Linked DNA regions of Oryzias latipes. The protein of the gene in region 1 purifies or fractionates together with the protein of each later gene. This does not show direct contact. Links are inferred from orthologs where the notes say so. Each region holds a gene or a part of one and is shown on either strand. Other genes may lie near its edges.

The links.
Region 2: the proteins of krr1 (region 1) and ddx24 purify together in Homo sapiens (affinity purification with mass spectrometry; 3 studies listed by BioGRID and IntAct, with this or other methods). This does not show direct contact. The link is inferred for Oryzias latipes from reciprocal best matches to the Homo sapiens genes KRR1 and DDX24.
Region 3: the proteins of krr1 (region 1) and noc4l purify together in Homo sapiens (co-immunoprecipitation; 3 studies listed by BioGRID and IntAct, with this or other methods). This does not show direct contact. The link is inferred for Oryzias latipes from reciprocal best matches to the Homo sapiens genes KRR1 and NOC4L.
Region 4: the proteins of krr1 (region 1) and protein KRI1 homolog purify together in Homo sapiens (affinity purification with mass spectrometry; 3 studies listed by BioGRID and IntAct, with this or other methods). This does not show direct contact. The link is inferred for Oryzias latipes from reciprocal best matches to the Homo sapiens genes KRR1 and KRI1.
Region 5: the proteins of krr1 (region 1) and ddx18 purify together in Homo sapiens (affinity purification with mass spectrometry; 3 studies listed by BioGRID and IntAct, with this or other methods). This does not show direct contact. The link is inferred for Oryzias latipes from reciprocal best matches to the Homo sapiens genes KRR1 and DDX18.

The regions. Positions count from the first base shown.
Region 1 is NC_019863.2:1,188,156-1,191,670, forward strand, and holds part of krr1 (KRR1 small subunit processome component homolog), read left to right. Parts: intron 1-1,209; coding exon 1,210-1,293; intron 1,294-2,366; coding exon 2,367-2,423; intron 2,424-3,022; coding exon 3,023-3,193; intron 3,194-3,277; coding exon 3,278-3,355; intron 3,356-3,478; coding exon 3,479-3,515. UniProt on the Homo sapiens protein: Part of the small subunit (SSU) processome, first precursor of the small eukaryotic ribosomal subunit.
Region 2 is NC_019880.2:12,476,967-12,481,155, forward strand, and holds the start of ddx24 (ATP-dependent RNA helicase DDX24), read right to left. Parts: upstream 2,809-4,189; 5' UTR 2,692-2,808; intron 2,567-2,691; 5' UTR 2,488-2,566; coding exon 1,698-2,487; intron 1,607-1,697; coding exon 1,193-1,606; intron 979-1,192; coding exon 825-978; intron 387-824; coding exon 1-386. UniProt on the Homo sapiens protein: ATP-dependent RNA helicase that plays a role in various aspects of RNA metabolism including pre-mRNA splicing and is thereby involved in different biological processes such as cell cycle regulation or innate immunity.
Region 3 is NC_019870.2:16,277,972-16,280,702, forward strand, and holds part of noc4l (nucleolar complex protein 4 homolog), read left to right. Parts: intron 1-18; coding exon 19-130; intron 131-2,676; coding exon 2,677-2,731.
Region 4 is NC_019866.2:21,186,427-21,190,663, reverse strand, and holds the start of protein KRI1 homolog, read left to right. Parts: upstream 1-1,429; 5' UTR 1,430-1,545; coding exon 1,546-1,630; intron 1,631-1,750; coding exon 1,751-1,827; intron 1,828-1,897; coding exon 1,898-2,000; intron 2,001-2,081; coding exon 2,082-2,184; intron 2,185-3,368; coding exon 3,369-3,423; intron 3,424-3,502; coding exon 3,503-3,552; intron 3,553-3,627; coding exon 3,628-3,727; intron 3,728-3,797; coding exon 3,798-3,875; intron 3,876-3,954; coding exon 3,955-4,067; intron 4,068-4,159; coding exon 4,160-4,237.
Region 5 is NC_019879.2:1,178,036-1,182,233, reverse strand, and holds the start of ddx18 (ATP-dependent RNA helicase DDX18), read left to right. Parts: upstream 1-1,393; 5' UTR 1,394-1,447; coding exon 1,448-1,556; intron 1,557-1,900; coding exon 1,901-2,068; intron 2,069-2,150; coding exon 2,151-2,303; intron 2,304-3,076; coding exon 3,077-3,212; intron 3,213-3,304; coding exon 3,305-3,405; intron 3,406-3,474; coding exon 3,475-3,674; intron 3,675-3,756; coding exon 3,757-3,871; intron 3,872-4,198. UniProt on the Homo sapiens protein: ATP-dependent RNA helicase that plays a role in the regulation of R-loop homeostasis in both endogenous R-loop-prone regions and at sites of DNA damage.

The DNA.
Region 1 (3,515 bases):
TATGGGTCTGGCCTTGTTGGGGCAAGGAGACTTCTGTGAACCGATGACCCAGAGAGCGATACCGTCTGGAGCTTGCTTCTGGTGGGGTCACCCTTGGCGGGCTGGTCACTTGGTGACGTTCCAGACAAACATAGACCCGCAGCTTGTTGGAACACTGCAAGGTGGCCCCCACTATCAAAAGTGTCCTGCGGAGGGCCAACAACACAGCCAGGGGAAACTTCCTTGTTACAAAACCGACCAGAAAATGAAGCCGGACTGCCCAATATGGTAACAGACCCCAGCTTGCCCCTGAGCAAAGAGTACTGCTTGATCTTCGTCAAACAACCCGTATTGCTACCTGGAAAGATGCAAGATGCATTAACAGAGGTGGTAAACTGGTCCTAGGATTGGGGCTTTCAATTTTTAGTGGATAAAACAAAATGCATGGATTTTACTAGGAAACATTGAGGATTGGACACACGGCTTTAAATAATACATTACATCAACTGGGGAAACATCCTACTGGCCTGTGTGATTGTGGGAAAAGGGAAGAAGCACATTCTAAATCACTGAATTGAATGGGGAAGAAAGACATCAGCTGGAGGATAGAGTACAGTTGCCAGAGGGAGAGCGACTGAGTTTGAGGAGGCTTTTGGGAGGGGAGCAGAATTTCAACAGAGTTGTTAGTGGTTTTCTGAAGTGAACCAGATAGACTGTTGAGAATATAGTTTTTTTTCTTTTTTAATTTACTAAACTAGTTAGGTAGTTCCCCAGTCCGACTCACACTTTTACACACTAGGTGTTGGTATTGCACCTTGACTTTGGTGCCTCCCGCTATGTAAACTACAAGAAGAAACGGGAGCCATTATTACAGGTAACCAGTGGAGGACAGAGGATCCTCTTACAGAAGAAGTTACAGGTCTGTGAGAGACAGAAAGCCTGCTTGTTTGTAGGTGACCAAAAACTTATATTCCACCATCATTTACAAAGAACTTTTTTTAAAATCCGACAATGTGATTTTCTGGATTTTTTTTTTTTCATTTTGTCTCTCAAAGTTGAGGTTTACTATGATGAAAACCACTGGCCTCTCTCATCTTTGTAATTGGAAGAACAAGGATGAGATGTTTGTTTTGATTGTTTGAAATAAACCCATTTCAGTTCCAAAGATGGGAAGTACGAGAGTTGCCCCTTGGACGTGAAAGATCATTTTCTGTCTCCATCTCTGTCCAGGCATTGGAGCTGCTGACCAACTGCTACGTGATGGTGCAAGGCAACACGGTGTCCGCGCTAGGACCCTACAACGGCCTGAAGGAGGTAAGACCACGGACGAATGGTAAACTGTCAATGAGGAACTTGTGCAGAAACAACGAAATTGTGTTCAACTTAAAACAAAAATATGATTACAACATTTAGTTTCATGTTTAACATGTCTGTTTTGAATGCGATTTCCCGCGTTAACTCTCTGTTTTAAATACGACACAGGGTCACAGACGTATTCGAGAACTGAAACATTGTTTCAACTTTATTAGCATGTGCTTTCAGGCTAATTTATTAAACTAAAAAAGAATTAAACTTTTTAGAATGTTAATGATCACATGGAATTTGTTTTAGTACAATTGCTGTTAAAAAAAACAACCAAAAAAACAGATTATGACAGTGATATCCTTTGCCAGAGCGGGGCAGGCACACTCACTCCAGCCCCTGAACCTGTCCAGGTGTACCGACCCCCCCCCCCCCCCCACCCCCCAACAGTAGCCGGGACGGGCTCCAGCATTACAGTGATCCCGAAGGGAAGATGGTGGATTATGAACATGTGGGAAAAATAACCAAATTAAAGAAAGCTAACTCAGAGCTAAAGTGGACTAGCTGGTAGCTGACCGTAGGGATATTTAAAAAAAAGAAAAGAAAATTGTTTTATTTTTAACCTGGTGACATTCATTTATTCATCTAATTTGATCTTATTTTACATCTAATGAGTGGAGTGACACGTCTGCTGCTGCTTTCTGGGCTTTTTTTCACCACCTCTGGGTCTGAAACTTTCTGCTGGTGCATTTCTTACTAAATGTAGACAGTTTCTGCTGTTGTTTAGTGCAAGAAAAACATTTGCTGGTTCTAATTACTGAATACAGATAAATGGGGATGAAATGTTGACATCTTGTTTGCCAAGTTCTCACTGCGGTTTGGGCCTGAAGCAAACAGTGTTGTCCTCTTCTTTTCAAATCAAACCTTTTCTATGTCATCATCATAGAAAATCATGCAAATGAACGTCACTAAAAATGTTAAATGTTGCCCAAAGAGCTTTTCTACAAACGTTCAGCAAACGGTAAGGTAAGCCTTTCTGTCTCATACATCGTATGTTTGACATGTTTGTCTTTTCTGCTCTGCAGGTTCGAAAGGTGGTGATGGACACGATGAAGAACATCCATCCCATCTATAACATCAAGGTACATTCCAGCTGCTGAAGCTGCACAGGAATCACAGAATGCTTGGAGAGACTGCATTCATGCCCTATGAGGACTTTCTCCATCCTTGTTCTGGATCTCATGACTGAAACAAGCCTCTCTGGGTTTGATGCCTGGAGCTGAGGGCATGAAAAACACTGCTACATTTATGCACCTTGTTTGTCCAACTCTCCTGTTGTTGTTCACACATATATCTACACTTTAGTTCAATGTTGAATTTTTTCATGTGGTTCCAGCAGTTTCTATATGTTGTTCACGTACTTAAACACTTTTAGGTCATTCCCCGCCCATGTTAAGGATAAGTCTTTTCTATTTGGCCTCTGTAGTCACAGCAGATCCAGATTTACTCTGAGTTTTGTTGCTGAAGCTGTGTTCATTAAAGCAGCACAAAAACCAATGAACTGCAACCTGATCACCTGTTATAGTGTTGCAGTTTGGAGAACAGAAACACTTCTTAATGTTACTGCAAGTGCAGTTATGGAGCACCAACACCAGAAGAAGTCCATGAATGTCTTCAGGAGGACCAAACTGACAATACGTGTATTTGGTTTCCCATGCATGCTGTTCTGTCTCGCCGTCAGACACTGATGATCAAACAGGAACTCTCCAGGGACCCAGAGCTGCGAACGCAGAACTGGGAGCGCTTCATGCCAAAGTTCCGCCACAAGAACCTGTCTAAGCGGAAGGAACCTAAGAAGAAGAGCGTGAAGAAAGAGTACACACCCTTCCCTCCTTCACAGCCAGAAAGCAAGGTCAGAAAGGCCTTGATTCATGCTCTCGCATATGTCGAGTTATGCTAACAGCCCAACATAACTCATCAATGCTGGCTTTTGCAGATTGATAAGGAGCTTGCCACTGGAGAGTTTTTCTTACGAGAAAGTGTGAAGAAGAGAAAGAAGATGGAGGAAATAAAAGTGAGGATCTTTTTTTACCTTTTAAACAATGCCAGCAGGTTTTTCATGATCTTCAGCTTCAGTAGAGAAGTGTAACACTGAAAGAAGAGGTTTATAATATTCACACTGGTCTTTTTTTCCCAGGTCAAACAAGCAGAAGTTCTGACTAAAAGGCAAGAAG
Region 2 (4,189 bases), on another chromosome or scaffold:
TACTGTTGGCAAAAACCATGGTGCGGCCAGGATACTGGAGCAGGAAGTAATATAGGTAGAAGTCCTTCTCATCCTTCTGACAGTGGATCTGTGTCTCGGTCAGGGTCTCCACAGTTGCCTCTTTCCGGGTGAGGTCGATGACTTTAGGCTTGGACTTAATTCCTACTTTTTCGATGAGAATGTCCAGTTTGCTCCTCTTCTCCAAGTTCTTCTTCTTCTGAAGGAGGCGGCTGGGCAGGCTGTGCGTCAGCGTCAGAGTGGCAGAGAACACAAAAGTCTGCCGTTTGGGGTTGAAGTGTGTGGTGTTGAGCATCTCCAGCAGGCTCTCCAGCTCGGCAAAGTGTCCTCTTTCCACCATGCGATCAGCTTCATCGATCACCAAACACCTGGATCGGGAAGAAAAACGCAAAAGTGTCAAACAAAACGGGTCGGTCCCCAAAGCAGCAGAATCCGTAATGGAATCCGTAATAGGTAGATTCTGCTGCGATTTCAGGAATAAGAGGTCGTTGGTTCCATTGAGCCTCCAATACCAGCATTTTTTGGGGTCAGAAACCTATAACTGAACAACATAGTAGAGCTGAATGTAGACATTTTAACGTGCTGGACCATCATTTGTAAGCTAGAAAATGCAGCTTATAAGGAAGTGTGAAACTCATTATGTGGAAAATGTAGACAAAGGTGTTTTAGTTTGTAACCAATGCAGCTCTTACTGACCTAAATGTACGGTAATGACTTGATGACCAATCATTTATTTAAATGACAACAATTTAGATTTTGACAGACTGAAAGGAGATCAATATCAGTGCGTTTGAATGGTGACAAACCGGAGGTGTCTGAGGTTAAGCAGATGAGGATGCTTCTCCTTAATCAAGTCCCACAAACGTCCAGGGGTGGCAATAATGATCTCTGGGCAGCGTTTCAGCATCCTCTTCTGTTTCTGCTGGGCCATTCCCCCCACCAAAATGGCTGTCTTGATGTCTGGAACATGGAAAAAGCAGCTCATGGAGACGTATTCCAGCAGATGCAACGATCAGCAGAGATCTCCTTCCCATTTGTTCAGAAATTCTTTGCAAATGGGCTGTGTTTGACTGTTACAACTCACACAACATTGATGTAAACACTTTTTTTTGCTTCATTAGATATGTTATTCTGAGCTGAATGCGGTCACATGCTTCCTTGAATGGAGACTCACCAGTGAATTTTGTGACGGCATCAATGTGGTGTTTGACCTGAACAGCCAGCTCTCTGGTGGGAGTCAGGACCATTCCCAGGAGGGGCCGAGACCGGCCACCAGCAAGTTGTTCTTCCACACAGCGCTCGGCATTTTTGACCGTGCAGACACTTCCTGTTTTCTCATCTTGATCCTCGCTGCCATCTTCAGCTGAGCTGTCCTCCTCATCTGAAGCCTCCACACTCCCCTCCTGGTTCCCCACAGCTGTGGACTCATCTTCTGATTTTGCAGACTCCTCCACTGATGGTAAATATAAACTCACCACCTTTGGGGGAGTTTTGTCGATGTTGTCATGAAGACTTTGTTCTGTGCCGCGCTTCCATTCTAAGATGGCGTGGATCATAGGAATACCAAAAGCTAACGTCTTTCCACTTCCTGCAACGACACCCAAACTTCACGTGAGAACATGTGGAAACAAAGGGGCAAAAATCAAGACTTAAAAAAAAAAAAAAGTATTTTAGCTCACCAGTCTCAGCTGCACCCAGGACATCCATATGATCTCTGATGGCTGGGGGTAAAGCTAAAGCTTGAATGGGAGTCGGTGACTCAAATCCCAGGCTGCTGAGAGCCTTCAGCACAGAAGAGGGAACGAACAAGTCCTTCCACGCACTCACATCAGATTGTTTGTCATCATCAGAGCCACAGAGTGCAGCAGAGGTCCAGTTCTTTGTCTGCTTTTTGATGGGTTTTGTCTTATTTTGACCTTTATTCAAACCTTTTGTTTCAGATGGAGAATCCAGCTTTGGCTGCTCCTCCGTGACGGGATCTTTCTCTGAATGATTCTTCAGTTTCTTTTTCCTTATTTTTTCTCTTTTTGGGGGGTGTTCTTGTTCACAGAGGTCCTCACTGATCTCATCCTTCCCCGCCTCTTTATCAACAGCCTTGTCTTCTCCTATTGCATCCCCACTTTCCGATCCCACAGATTCCTTTGGAGCCACCTTTTTCCCCTTCTTTTTCTTCTTTGCTTTCTTCTTAGCTGGCTCAGCAGGAGTCTCTCCAGCTTCGTCTTCCTCCGCGACTTTTCTTTTCTTAGCCACCTTCTTCTCTCGTTGAAGTTGCTTCGCTGCAGCTTTCTCGCTGTCTATCAATCGATAATCCCTCAGCTCTTCAAAACACACCAGACCCTCCAAACCCTGCTCCGAGAACACACTGGGATCTATTTCGACCGCTTTCCATGTTCCTTTAGCGCGGATGCTCCGGGTCTTTAACCTAAACGAGCTGTTTTTGTTTTGAGCTTCCACTTTCTTTGTCTTCATTTTTCTCACTTTTTCTACAGTTTTAATACATGTGAATTATCTTTGATGCTAAAGGTGAAGACGAGTGAACCTGTGAGATCTGACACGAGACGTTTCCGTTAGCCTTTACGTTTGACGATGAGCGCAACTGATTGTTTACAACTTACTGCTAATGCATTGAACAGGCTTTTTATATTATTAACAAGGAATACAATGGTACGTTACCCGGATTCGATGGAGCTTTATGAAGTATCAAAATACACGCACAACCGTTAACAACCATGCAGTTCACGAGGGCGCAGCCATGACAGTGCTGATCACATGTTTTGTAAAAACTTTATTTAAACACAGGATGCGTACAAGCCCGAAAAGAAGGGTGAGAACGATGATTGTATGTGGAAGAGAGCATCTCATTTATGTCCAAATGTATTCTCTGCTATATAAACAAGAAAACATTTAACAAAGCAAAACCTGCTAAAATGCTTTAGTTTTTCACATTTTAATGCAATCTTTTTGTTCAACCCATGGGATAAAAGCTTAAAGTCTGCACTTCAATGGCATCTGAGTTGTTTAACTTAAAAGTCACTGTGGTAATGTACAGAAACTAAATTAGAAAAAACGTGTCTGTCCAAATATTTATGGTCCTGACTGTAGTTCGTGGTTGCTGATACGACTCATTTTGAACAATCCGATTCACTGAACTAAAATCAATCCAGGTTTTAATCTTTAAGCCGAAATATATCTGGGTACTAAACAGTGTAGGTGAAGTTTTCCAGATTCCTTGTATTTGTTTGTGTTGTCCGCTGTGATGGTACTTTGTTGTTTTTACGTTATTGTAAAATGAACCCACAGGGCCTCAATCCAGATGGGATTTTCCAATATTGATACAATCCATTTATTTAATTTTGAAAGGATTTTATAATGGTTTAGGTTAATTTGATTAACAACTTGCCTCAGGCAGACTGATCTGGCTGGAGAATACAAATCAATTAATCGACTAAACTGATAAATCGTTACGCCCCTATTTGTAAGTGACACTACAAAACAACAAAATTGACCTGGATTTGCAGGTCAATTACAGAAAACATGTAAAGAATTCAGATGTTTTTTGGAACTGAAGGGGCCAAACTCATCTCTTGATAAACAGCCCCACATCATAATACTCCTTCCACTTAACGTGACACTTGACTTAATGCAACCAGGAAGGTGATCTTCTACTGACAACTGCCAATACCTGTCTTAACAATAATGTTTGCAGATGAAGAAATCATATACATCACTTGAGAGAAATCATCTCTCAAGGGAACAACATTCGTATCATAATATTTAAGTAGATTTCTTTTTATATTAATATTTTTTTATTGTTTTGTTTTTATTTTAAGAGGATAACATCTATGTATCAATGTAAAACATAATTCTGTCCACAAATATTTACATGAGATCTGATTTTTACCCTTCAGAAATACCATTTAGTTGAAACTGCTTTAATAGTAAGTGAATAGACAATTCTTAATCATTATTGTATTCATTTCTATATAATTCATGCATATAATAGTATTTAGCAGAAGTACACTAAAAAAAAAAGATCTGTGGTAGATTCAACCACTAAAACACCTTTAAAACTCATATTTCGCTTTTTAAATTGAAAAAATTCATTGAATCAAAACAAAAAACTCTTTATTCCTTTATAAGTTAAAAAAGTTCATAAGTCATTAGTTGTACT
Region 3 (2,731 bases), on another chromosome or scaffold:
TCCATCTTTGTGTCCCAGTTGCCAAGCAACATGTATAAGAAACTCTTGGTGATCCTCCATGACTCTATTTTGCCGCACATGAGCAAACCTGCTCTGATGATCGACTTTTTGACCGCCGCTTATGAAGTCGGTGAGTTCTCTGTCTTCAATTAACCCTGTTGTGTTGGTGTGGAGGAAACTGCACTAATGTTTGAAAGTGTATCTCATTCAATTAAAGAAAAAAAAATCGTAGGTGATCTTTGTTCTAGATTGTTTTCTTGATTTTCTCTCTAGTATTTTTAAGAACTACAAAAGGAGATAACTACACACTACCTGACCTAATCTGCTCATGCAAACTGTGGGTTGACCTGCAAATCAAAGTTGAAAAGCCCCAATGTCAGGGGTCGGCAACCTTTACCATTCAAAGCCATTTGGACCAGTTTCCCACAAAAATGAAGATACAGGAAGCCGCATCACCATCAGGAAAACTCTGTGTTTCCAGTGAAAAGCATCATTTCACTCGTTTTTAAAGTTTGTGAAGAGATGTTCATTTTTTTTTGCATCCTCTGTTATTTAATGGGTTCTGATGAGAACCATTTGCAGAGTGGCCACAAAACTAGCAAATATGTCGTAATTAAGTAACAATTAATCTGCTTCTCCAATAGATTTTTGTCAACAAACAACTTTTTTTCTCATCTGAATCTGGATGTTTTTGGGCAGTTTCATTCTGGAATGTCTCGCCACATTTGAGACTTTGTTGTTTGCTAATTCCTCAGTACATATTAATTATACTGCTAAAGTTGTTGAAAGCAAACAAATCTGCCCAGGTGCCATTAAAGCAACAGTTTTCTCCAGGAACTTCAATTTCCTCTAAAATTTCCATCGTTGTCCCACCTGAGTCAGAGCATTGTTGGGATTACCGGTACTCGCCGGCGGGAGTCGTGGTCGTGGCACCGGTTGATAGTCACATAGAACTTTACTTAGAAAGTCTACATTCAGATTTTTTTTTAAACCTAAGACTCAGCCCGTTCATTTTTTGTTTTGTTTTTTTAAAATCATTTTTGTGAACCTTTCCTGTTCACTGCTTGCCGACCATAGTCATCAGCACAGGGGAGCCGCTCCAGGGACGAGCAGCTCGGTTGTTCCGACCCGCTCACAAAAATGCAACAGCTGGTTGACGACATGGTTTGTGTCGTCATGACGACCCGCAGAGGTTCTGAATGATGAGGCTTTTATTCACTTCTCATTCTACCTCAGTTGCCATGTACTGTCTTTTTAGAAGAACTTTTCATCCTGTAACAGACTCTGGTCCGTGCTCACAGCTGCAGACACGTTGTTAAAGGCACCACGTCAATCTGTCAACACAATAGTTCTTTTACAAAACCATAGAGAGCCGCAGCACAGGGATGAAAGAGCCGCAGGTTGCCAACCCCTGCCAAATGTGTACGTGTCATGGACATAATCCGTTTTGACAAACAAAAGCAGTTTCTCAGTAACTCGCCATAAATAATCTCAAAAATATCACAAGTTCTCATTATTGTTAAAATTACCTCCACAGAAATCACTAATATCGCTTTTCTTTCTCTCGGAGTGAACCAGCATGTCATATGGAAGCGATTCTGTAGCATAATTAAAAATAAAAGTCAAAACCAGAAATGCTTTTTCATTTTCAAATGAAGCTGCATTTTTTGACTCAGAATTAAAATGAAAAAGCAATCCACCAAAATGCTTTTTAATTTTCTTCTTCAACACCGCTTATTCTGTCACTTAATTAAATGATAATGAAAATAGTATTTGACATTTCATTTTCAAAAAGGTCCCTGGTAAATGTGTAGCATAATTCATTTAGAAATGTCTAATTTGACAATTAAAATGGATTAACAGAAATTCTTTTTCACTTCATTTAATTTCATTTCATTTCAAATGAAGCTGTATCAAATGACTCAAAATTAAAATGAAAAAGCAATACTTCAAAATGCTTTTTCATTTTATACTTAAAAACCGCTTATTCTGTGTCATAATTAAAATGAAAATGCAAAGAGGGGATTGCATCTGCATTTTCACATCCACCCTGCGAACATTGTCGCATTATTCATTTAGAAAAAGCATTTCCAGAGGGAAGGCGGGGCGATGACGTCACTGCTTTCTCCGTGTCTCCGGCTGCTAACAGACACAGACACACCAGGAGTAGCTTTGTGTTAGCGGCAGAGAAGACTGCTTTGTGTTGGTTGTGAACTTCTGATGAGTTTACACAGCTTCTCAGGACTACGTAGCAGCATGTCCACCTTCTGCGGTCCTCCTCCTGATGCACCGCGGACAAACCTTTTTTCTTCGGACCGGCAGCTGCCTTCGCATAGTGGAATTTAAATTCTCAATAGCTCTGAAGATGCTTAAGCTACAGTCACCAAACTTTCTGTACCGACTAATCATGACCTTATTGTCCGACAACAACAAATTATATAAAAAATGTGGTTACAATTTTTCAGATTAATTAGGACATGCAAAACACTTGATGCCACACCTTTGTTTGTCTCCTTGAAGGATATAACATGATCCGTTAAAATGAATCTGCTGTTTAATTTCAAGTTTTCTCCTTTGGCGCGCTTTCATTGTTTTAATGTTTCTGAAACAAACGATGTGTATCCAGCCCTCTGCTGTCGGGGCAGCCTCATTTAAGGTCTGTTTGTCATTGAGCAGGCGGTGCCATCAGTCTGCTGGCCCTTAACGGCCTGTTTGTCCTCATTCATCAACA
Region 4 (4,237 bases), on another chromosome or scaffold:
CCAGCCTGTGAGAAGGGAGCCTTGCTGCAACAGTCTCCACTGCAGCTTGGCCCTCTTCTCCAGTTTGGTTTTGATTTCACCACCTGTTTAGTTGTGTGTTGCACTTTAGTGTTTTGTATTATTTCTTCTGTGTAGTTTATGGTGTTGTGCCCACTCTGTTTAGTCCTTTGCTTTATAATTTTGTTGAAGTGAAGCTGTAGGGGTGAACTGCCATTTTCTTTAGTACATGTTTTCTCCTGTTTTTGTTAGTCTAGGGAGGTTAGTGTTTGTCATTGAGTTCCCTTTTTCTTTCATTTACAGGTAAGATTACATGTTTCAGTTAAGTGGGGTTTTGTTTGTTATTTTGGCCTTGGTTCACCCTGAAGCTTTTTTGCTTTACTTGTAGTTGTTGGTGGTTGTTTATTTGTAAATAAATTTGTCATTTTTGTATATTGACATTTGTTTGGTGTTTTAGTTCATGTTAAATTATCAGCCAAATCTTAACTTTTTGTGTTATGCCCCCCTAGGTACCCCTAGGGGGCGTAACACTATGTTTTCAATTTCATAAGTATAAAGTGTCTAACAGAACAACTAATTTTTTCTACTTCTTGAAACATCGGTGTAATCTTTTTCTCTTGAAGCTACAGAAATATCATTTAAGTATTGATTTCTAAACAGCTGCTTGTGAATAAGAAACAAAGGAGCGCTTTGGATAAGTCCTGGGAGTTTTTCTGCTCTCAGAAAGAGATGCTGATAATTGTAAAAAGGGCTTGATTCCAACAGATTATTTATTGTTGTCAGTCCATAATGAAACCGAGCCAGAAGAAACTTCCAAAAACATCCCAGAACAGCCCACACTTAGCCTGAACTGCTATGACGTCATGTGGTCTCACATTTGGCACAGTCCCTCCCACTCAGGTCCTCCCACATGCAGCAGAAATGCAGCACTGACCAGATACCTGTGTTTGTTCGAGTTTATGGAACGCTGTTGACATTTTTACTCACAGACCAAGTAGAGAATCAATGACATTTGATCAGTGAATTCCAACAAACCGACCACAACACTGACTGTTTTTTTTAAAGAAACCACTGAACATTTAGTTTAAAATAGTTATTGTTTTTATTGTAAACATGCTTGTTTTTATTGTCTTATAAATAAACGCATTTTATTGACAGACATTAATCATAACATATTAAAAGTAAATCTACACTTTATCCATTTTTAATTTTTTTTCCCACATCTTTAAGTGGTGATTTTTGCATCAGGGAATCTAACATTAATTTCTTGGGTTATAATATTTTTTTAAGTCTATCAAAAATGAAATCAGACAAAACTACTAATTGAAATAATTAAAGGTATTAATATCATAAAAAGAGCTTTTCTCTGTCAAATAAAAATAATTCTGTGATTCGTGCGCCCTCTGTAGGACATTTACTGCAATTGCTTCCTTTAGCGGAAACCACGTGATTAGGGTCCCACACATGCTTCCTTTGGCAGCTGGCATGGTTTCTATTCGCTAATGTCTGTTTATTTTTCTCAATAATTATCCTTTTTCCATTTTTAAAATGTCAGGCAAACGGGAACTAAAAATTAACACAAAGTTTGCTCAGAAATATGACAAATACCGACAGAAAGAAGAGCTGCAGAAACGTAAGCGTCTACCACGAGCTAGCTAACATGCTAACGACCCAGTGATGAAAAGTAGCTTTAAAGTTGTTTTTCAGGCTGCTGCCGCTTAAGAAAGACATCTTTTTGTTTTGTATTTTACAGTTAAGGACAGATTTGGGGACAAAAACGACGGGAGAGACTCGGACTCTTCGGGGTCCAGCTCAGACAACAGTGAAGTGGTTAGCACATGAGGTCTTCTAGACTAGCTGAGTTAAAACGCACTGACTGAGCTAAAGTTGTGTCCCGCAGGAGCTGGATCCCACCGTCGAGAGGGACTTCTACAGGATCCTGTCGCTGCTGAAAAAAAAAGACCCGAAGATCTACGAGAAAGACGCCAAGTTCTACTCTGAAGGTGGTTGTTTACATGTTTGCAGCAGCTAGCTTCTCGTGGCTTTTCTGCCCCTTCGTGAAACGTTTGTTCCTCTTTATTCAGACACTTCTCACAGCGATGAGAAGCCTTCAACCTCGAAGAAAGCTGCAGTGAAACCCATGTTCCTCAAGGACTATGAGCGGGCAGTCATCCTGGAGAAGGAGGGGTGAGGTCCTGTTCAAGAAACAGCATCTTTTCATCAAAATAACACTACAGAAACCTTTAGTCTGATTGTAAACAGGAAGTACTGCGCACAACTCTGCAGTGTTGGGATTTTAATAGTGAAACGTAAATAATGTTTCTATACACAATATTAAATGTAAATGGTACATGTCGTATACTTGTACAGCGCTTTTCTACCTTCCTCGAAGGCCTAAAGCGCTTTACAGTCACACACACATTCACACACTGGTGGCGGCTCCGCTGGCGAACACTGGCGCCAACCTTCCACCAGAGGCAAGGTGGGGTTCAGTGTTTTGCCCAAGGACAGGCAAGGTGGGAATTGAACCTGCAATCTTCCGCCCTACCACTGCATCACAAATCCCAAGAATTTAGTTTTGGGATTTGTGTGTTAATCAACAAAATGATGCAAAAATCAGTTTAGTCTTTTGAGCCACCACTAAGACAATAGTTGGGTCCAAATTCTACGGTGGCCCTGAAGTGTAAATCACATCAACCAATCACTCAACACAAAAGCATTAATTTTTCATCATTTCATAAACCAAAATCAATATTTCATTTCTTTTTTTGTTAGTTGGTTTTGGTTTCTGGAAAAGACTGCAAATGTTTTAATTGTTTTTTATTTAATTTCTGAAAGGTCATGTTTTTGTATTATTTGCTGCAGTCTCTCTGAGGTCCACTGGCCGGTGTGTTTAGCGCTTTGTGATGAGGTGTGAAGAATCCCTGATGGCGTTCTGCTCTGAATGCACACCTTTGAGGAGTGGTGTTATGGATGGAGATGATTTCCTCCACCACACACCTCACCATCACACATAGAGCTGGTTAGGATGCTTGTCTGTATGTGGTGAGAGCTGGAGGAGGCAGATACAGCTGCTGCTGCAACGTCTTAACAGAGTTTCAGTGATGTTCACTATGTTCACAGTTCTGAGAATGATGAACCAGGTGGGTTTATCCGTCAGATGTTAAAGTCTGCCACGGCGGGGGTTTTCAGCCAGCTCCTGTGACATCAGACATCCATCTTGATTTGCCTTTTTTCTTTGATGAAGAAGATTGAGAACCAGAACTTTGCTTCAGACTGTTTGTGGATCTCTATCTGCAGGATTTTAAAGAAAAAAAGTGAGGTTTTGCATTGAATACAGGTCATTCAGAAAAAATGTTTTCATTTGGCAGGAAATACGAAGATGATGATGACAGCGATGAAGAGGAAGCTGCAGAGAGAAGACAGGTTTGACTTGAAGTGTTTGGATTCAGGAGTTAAAGAGAGTAAAGAGGTAAATAAATATTTCTCTGCGCCTCCTTCGCAGAGAGCGGCTTCTCCCAGCTACATCCAGGAGCAGCGGGAGCTGAAAGCCAGGTGAGCTGAAAGCTTCTACAGGCGTCCAGCGCTCCTGCTCACTCTTTATTGACAGAAGTCCACCTCTGAACGCAGCTTCCGCAAGTTTGTTGAGGACAGCGACGATGAGGATGACGATGAGGAAGGAGGAACGTCGACGCTGCTGACAAGGAGGATGAAGACGCAGGAGGAGAAGGTCGGATGGGAAGCCCCGTCTGTGAACGTCTCCCTGTGGCTGAAACAAAACCGAGCTGCGTTTGTTTCAGGATGAAGAGGAGGCGGACTTTGTGGATTGGCTGAAAGGCCAGGCAGAGCTGGAGGGGGGAGAGGAGGTGAAGGACATGGTGAGTTTGATCAGGATGAAGAAACGCGTGGAGGACTCTGACTATCCAGCTCATGTTTGTGCTTTTTCTGTGGAGACAGAAGTACTTAAGAGACTACTGGAACAACCCGCAGCTGGAGGAGAAGGAGCGCTTCCTCAGAGACTATGTGCTTAACAAGGGCTACCTGAACGAAGAGGATGATGATGAAGAGCGGTGTGTTCCACAGAAGAGCTCCTCTGTTTCGTTTTTGTTGGGAGAAATGTCCGAACCTTTTTTTTTAAATGATGTAATTTGGATGCTTTCAGGATCCCGACCTACGATGAGGTGGTTCAGGAGGACGTGGACGACTCTGAGGAGGAGGGCGAGTCTTTTCTGGAACGCCA
Region 5 (4,198 bases), on another chromosome or scaffold:
AAAGAGACCATGTGACCACTGTTCTAGCAGCTTTTTATAGAGCAGGATTTACTACTATTTATATATCGAATCGTTTCTTTCTGAAAAACATAAAATACTGTTTTTTGTCATTGAGCCTTCAGTGCTGTGAAATAGATGTTCTTGGTCGTCTCACCTCAATAATAGTCTGGATTTAAACACAAACGTAGAAATAAATAAAAAAGAAAGGTTAGAGACAATCTGGACTCAGATTTACAAGGAAGATTTTCGTTTTCTCTCCGTAACATTGAATATATAAAGCAGGGGTGGGCAAACCACGGCCCGGGGGCCATATGCGGCCCGCCAAACTGGAATAAATCATATTGATAATACTTTTTCATGTTTCTTTTCCCCCTGTAATTTTGGTGTCTACTATAGATGGTGCACTACAATAAACTGACCTTTGTCTGGGTGCAGAAAATTAGTCTTCATTCATGTGGTGTTGGAAGATTTGTTGTTGTTTTTTGTTCATGTGCATTTTCCAAGTTGGAAAATCATTTTTCCATCATTCCAGCACCACATGAACAGTTTTTCTAGACAATTTCTCTAAGTTTATATTTTTTCCTGAAGGACATAGACCTATTAATGCAATTGGCAATAAAATGAGAATAAAAGCCACGGTTCTGAAATAAAAACTCCCAAATGTTCAGATTTTATATATCAGTTTTCAATCAAAGATAAAGCATGTTTTCAATCACATTCTATGTTATTTCTTTCTCTTTCGAGGTGGATTACCAAAACACACCATGCCTCTGGTTAGGCCCTTGTGACAAATTTTACAACCCTTCGTGGCCCAACAGTCAAAAGGTTCGTCCACCCCTGATATGAAGTCAAAGGTCCATTTGGAAAAATGGGAAGTATTTTCATTTCAAGATTAAAAGATGTTTTCCAAAAACTGTGTTTTTCAGATGCTTCTGTAAACGGCATTAAGATCACAGGTGTCCACCCGGAACATTGAATTGGAGATTAAAGTTCTATCCCAAAACATTTATTAGAAAAAATATGATTATTTTTTAAAGATCGGCTACAGCTAGCGTTTTTTATGTGTTGGCAACAGGAAAAAGGAGAAGTGACCGTATTTATTATTATTTATTATTTACTAACGGAGTTAGTAAAAGTGTCAGTAAGAAAGAAGCGCTGCGTCCTCTGACCTCTGACCTGAACAGGAGAAAAGAAAACATTTGTAGTCCATTTGTAGTCCTTAAGCAGGATGGCGGGGTCATGAGCTTTAACATTTCCTTTTTTTCAACATTAAAGTTAACTGTTTATTATAATAAACATTTTCATTGTTGTAAACGTTTCAAGAGGCAAGCGCACGCGCAGACTAATCGGGTGGCGACACTCCACGGCTTTTCACTCAGGCGAAACTAAGCGGCAGCTTCCGGGGTCCTGGGCGTCATCCACGCAGACGCACGTGCGCTGTTCCACCATGGCGGACCTACAGATGAAACTGCTCCGTAAGAAAATCCAAAAACGGGCCGAGAAGAACAAAGAGCGCAAACTGAAGAGTATCCAGGCAGAGATCCAGGAGGAGACCGGTAAGAGATCCGGCGGCTCCGGTTTTACGGTGTTTGTGTGTCGGTCGTTGAGCTTTGTGGTACTTTAAGTTCTGAATGCTCTGACGAAATGCGGGCCTTTCAAACACACACATGTGTGTGTGTGTGTGTAAACTCTCTGACACTCACATATATCGACTTAACAGGAAAAGTGAGCGAGCTGTAACCGCCCAACATCCGAACTTTTTTCTACCCGGAGGCCCGCGTTGTTTGGCTTGTGTGGGGCGACTTCGCAGTGTTTGGACCTCCTCGGCCTCCGTCCGTCTGTGGAGCTTGTCTGTCCGCTGAACTGCTGTCCGTTTAGCTCCTCACCTGCTGTGTTGCAGAGGGACTGAAAAGAGGCTCCGACCGGCTGGAGGAGGAGCTGTGCGCGGAGGAAGAGGGCTCCAGTGTGGGACTGAAGAATGTCGAAGGGCCGGAGGAACATGCTGTGAAGGAAAAGAATCAGAAGAAAAAGAAGAAAAGAAACCTCGTTGTTACCGAAGGACCTCCAGGTAATGCTGGAGATAAGGTCAAAGAAAGAGCGGTTGTTGTTGTTTAATCTGGTGACCGCAAAATATAAACTTTGATCTGCAGCTGAGAAGAAAAGCAAGACCGTGGAAGATGAAGAGGACAAGACCACAAGAGGACACCAGAAAGAGGGCCAAAGTGAGGATGAAGAGGAGAAACCTTCAGAGGAAGAGGGGGCGGAGGATGAAGAGCAGCCTGAACTGCCTTCAGGTTTAACAGGTATTGATGCCAGAAGCATGAGCCGTGGTTCTGGCTGTGGTTCTGCTGCGTTTGATTGGCTTTAGTTTGTTTCTGGTGTCAGTTTGGACCAGGGCTGCACGAAATGAGGACAACTCGGGATATTACTGATCAATATTGCGAAAACGATATAGTTTGCGGTATATGAACAAACGGCAAAACAGCTAAAACATCATTCCCATTTCACTGCATTAGTTTAAATATTCTACTCCCAATGATCCTTGTCGACATCGGAGACAAACATCTAACATAAACGGCTCCACTTGATTGGTCAAAAGCACAAAGGGATTTATTTGATTTGTTAAATACTTCAAGCTGCCATAAGATTGTTTTAGCACATTTAAGGTAACTATTTATTGCATTTTTCGCCGTCTTTTGCGATGTGTCTTTCACTGCTTGGTGTGATTTCACTCATCCAAACTGTTGGCCGATCTCCAACCGCTTTCAAACAAACTCGGTTTGGTTAGAGTAGGAACAGGAACCTATTCGGATCCAACCCACGTGCAGTTGTTGTCTGTCTGCTTGTTTGGACCTAACAAGCTACCATAGTTGACGTTATTGAAAGAACGTAGCCGATGTGTGAAAGCGCTGAACAGAAACCAGTGAACTGACCTTTATTGAGTCTGGATGGTCCCGGTTGGGTCGGGATGGTCCCGGTTGGGACATTTATAGGTAACTGTAGATTGAGAGGACAGGAAGTAGATGGGAACAGCTGGAGGTGATGTGCAGTGACGAGGGGTGGCCTGCCGTTTCAGGAGCGTTCGAGGACACGGCGTTCGAGTCTCTGGCGGATCTGGTGAGCGAGGGCACACTGAAGGGAGTGAAAGAGATGGGCTTCCAGCACATGACTGAGATCCAACACAAAACCGTCCGGCCTCTGCTGGAAGGAAGGTAGCCATGAGTCCTTAAACGAGCGGGACATCAGAACGCTGGTGTGTTTGGTTTTGGGTTGAGGCTCAGTTGTTTGCCATGTTCTCCTGCAGGGATGTTCTGGCCGCCGCCAAGACAGGCAGCGGGAAAACCTTGGCTTTCCTCATCCCCTCCATTGAGCTCATTTACAAGTTGAAGTTCATGCCCAGAAACGGTGAGTCTCCACGAGAATGATGTGACTGTCATGGTTCTGGTGGAATCCTAAACCCGCCCTCTCCCTCAGGCACTGGTGTCATCATCCTCTCTCCGACGCGCGAGCTGGCCATGCAGACGTACGGCGTCCTGAAGGAGCTGATGACCCACCACGTCCACACCTACGGGCTCATAATGGGGGGCAGCAACCGCTCAGCCGAGGCCCAAAGACTGGCCAACGGTGTTAACATTCTCGTGGCCACGCCCGGCCGCCTGTTGGACCACCTGCAGGTGAGCCTCGCGTGGATCCGGGTGTTGAAGTTGGTGTGAAGTTTTGACAAATGTGCCCCCCCCCCCCCCCCTCTTTTCCCAGAATACTCCTGGCTTCATGTTCAAGAACCTGCAGTGTCTGATAATCGACGAGGCCGATCGGATCCTGGAAGTGGGCTTCGAAGAGGAACTCAAGCAGATCATCAAACTACTGCCGAGTACGAATCTCATTCCTGAGCGGCTTCTGCAGAGCCCCCGTGTCTGGGGGCCACACCCACTTAAGCACTTTGAACAAAAGGTCCCACTGTATGTCACAGATCCTGCGGGTCGTCCCGGCCCAATACGCTGAGCGAAGCCCGTCATAATGTTTATCGGGACACTGATCTGGTTTGATGCATGTTAGGTGGAACACTGAGGAAAAGCTTAGAGCCATAGTCCAACTTGAACCAAAGCAGAATTTTCCAGAGGCAAAAGTTTTCTATCTCCAACGTTAATTGAAGTTTAGACCACGGTCCGGGTGAATACTCCATTCTGATTGGCTGCAG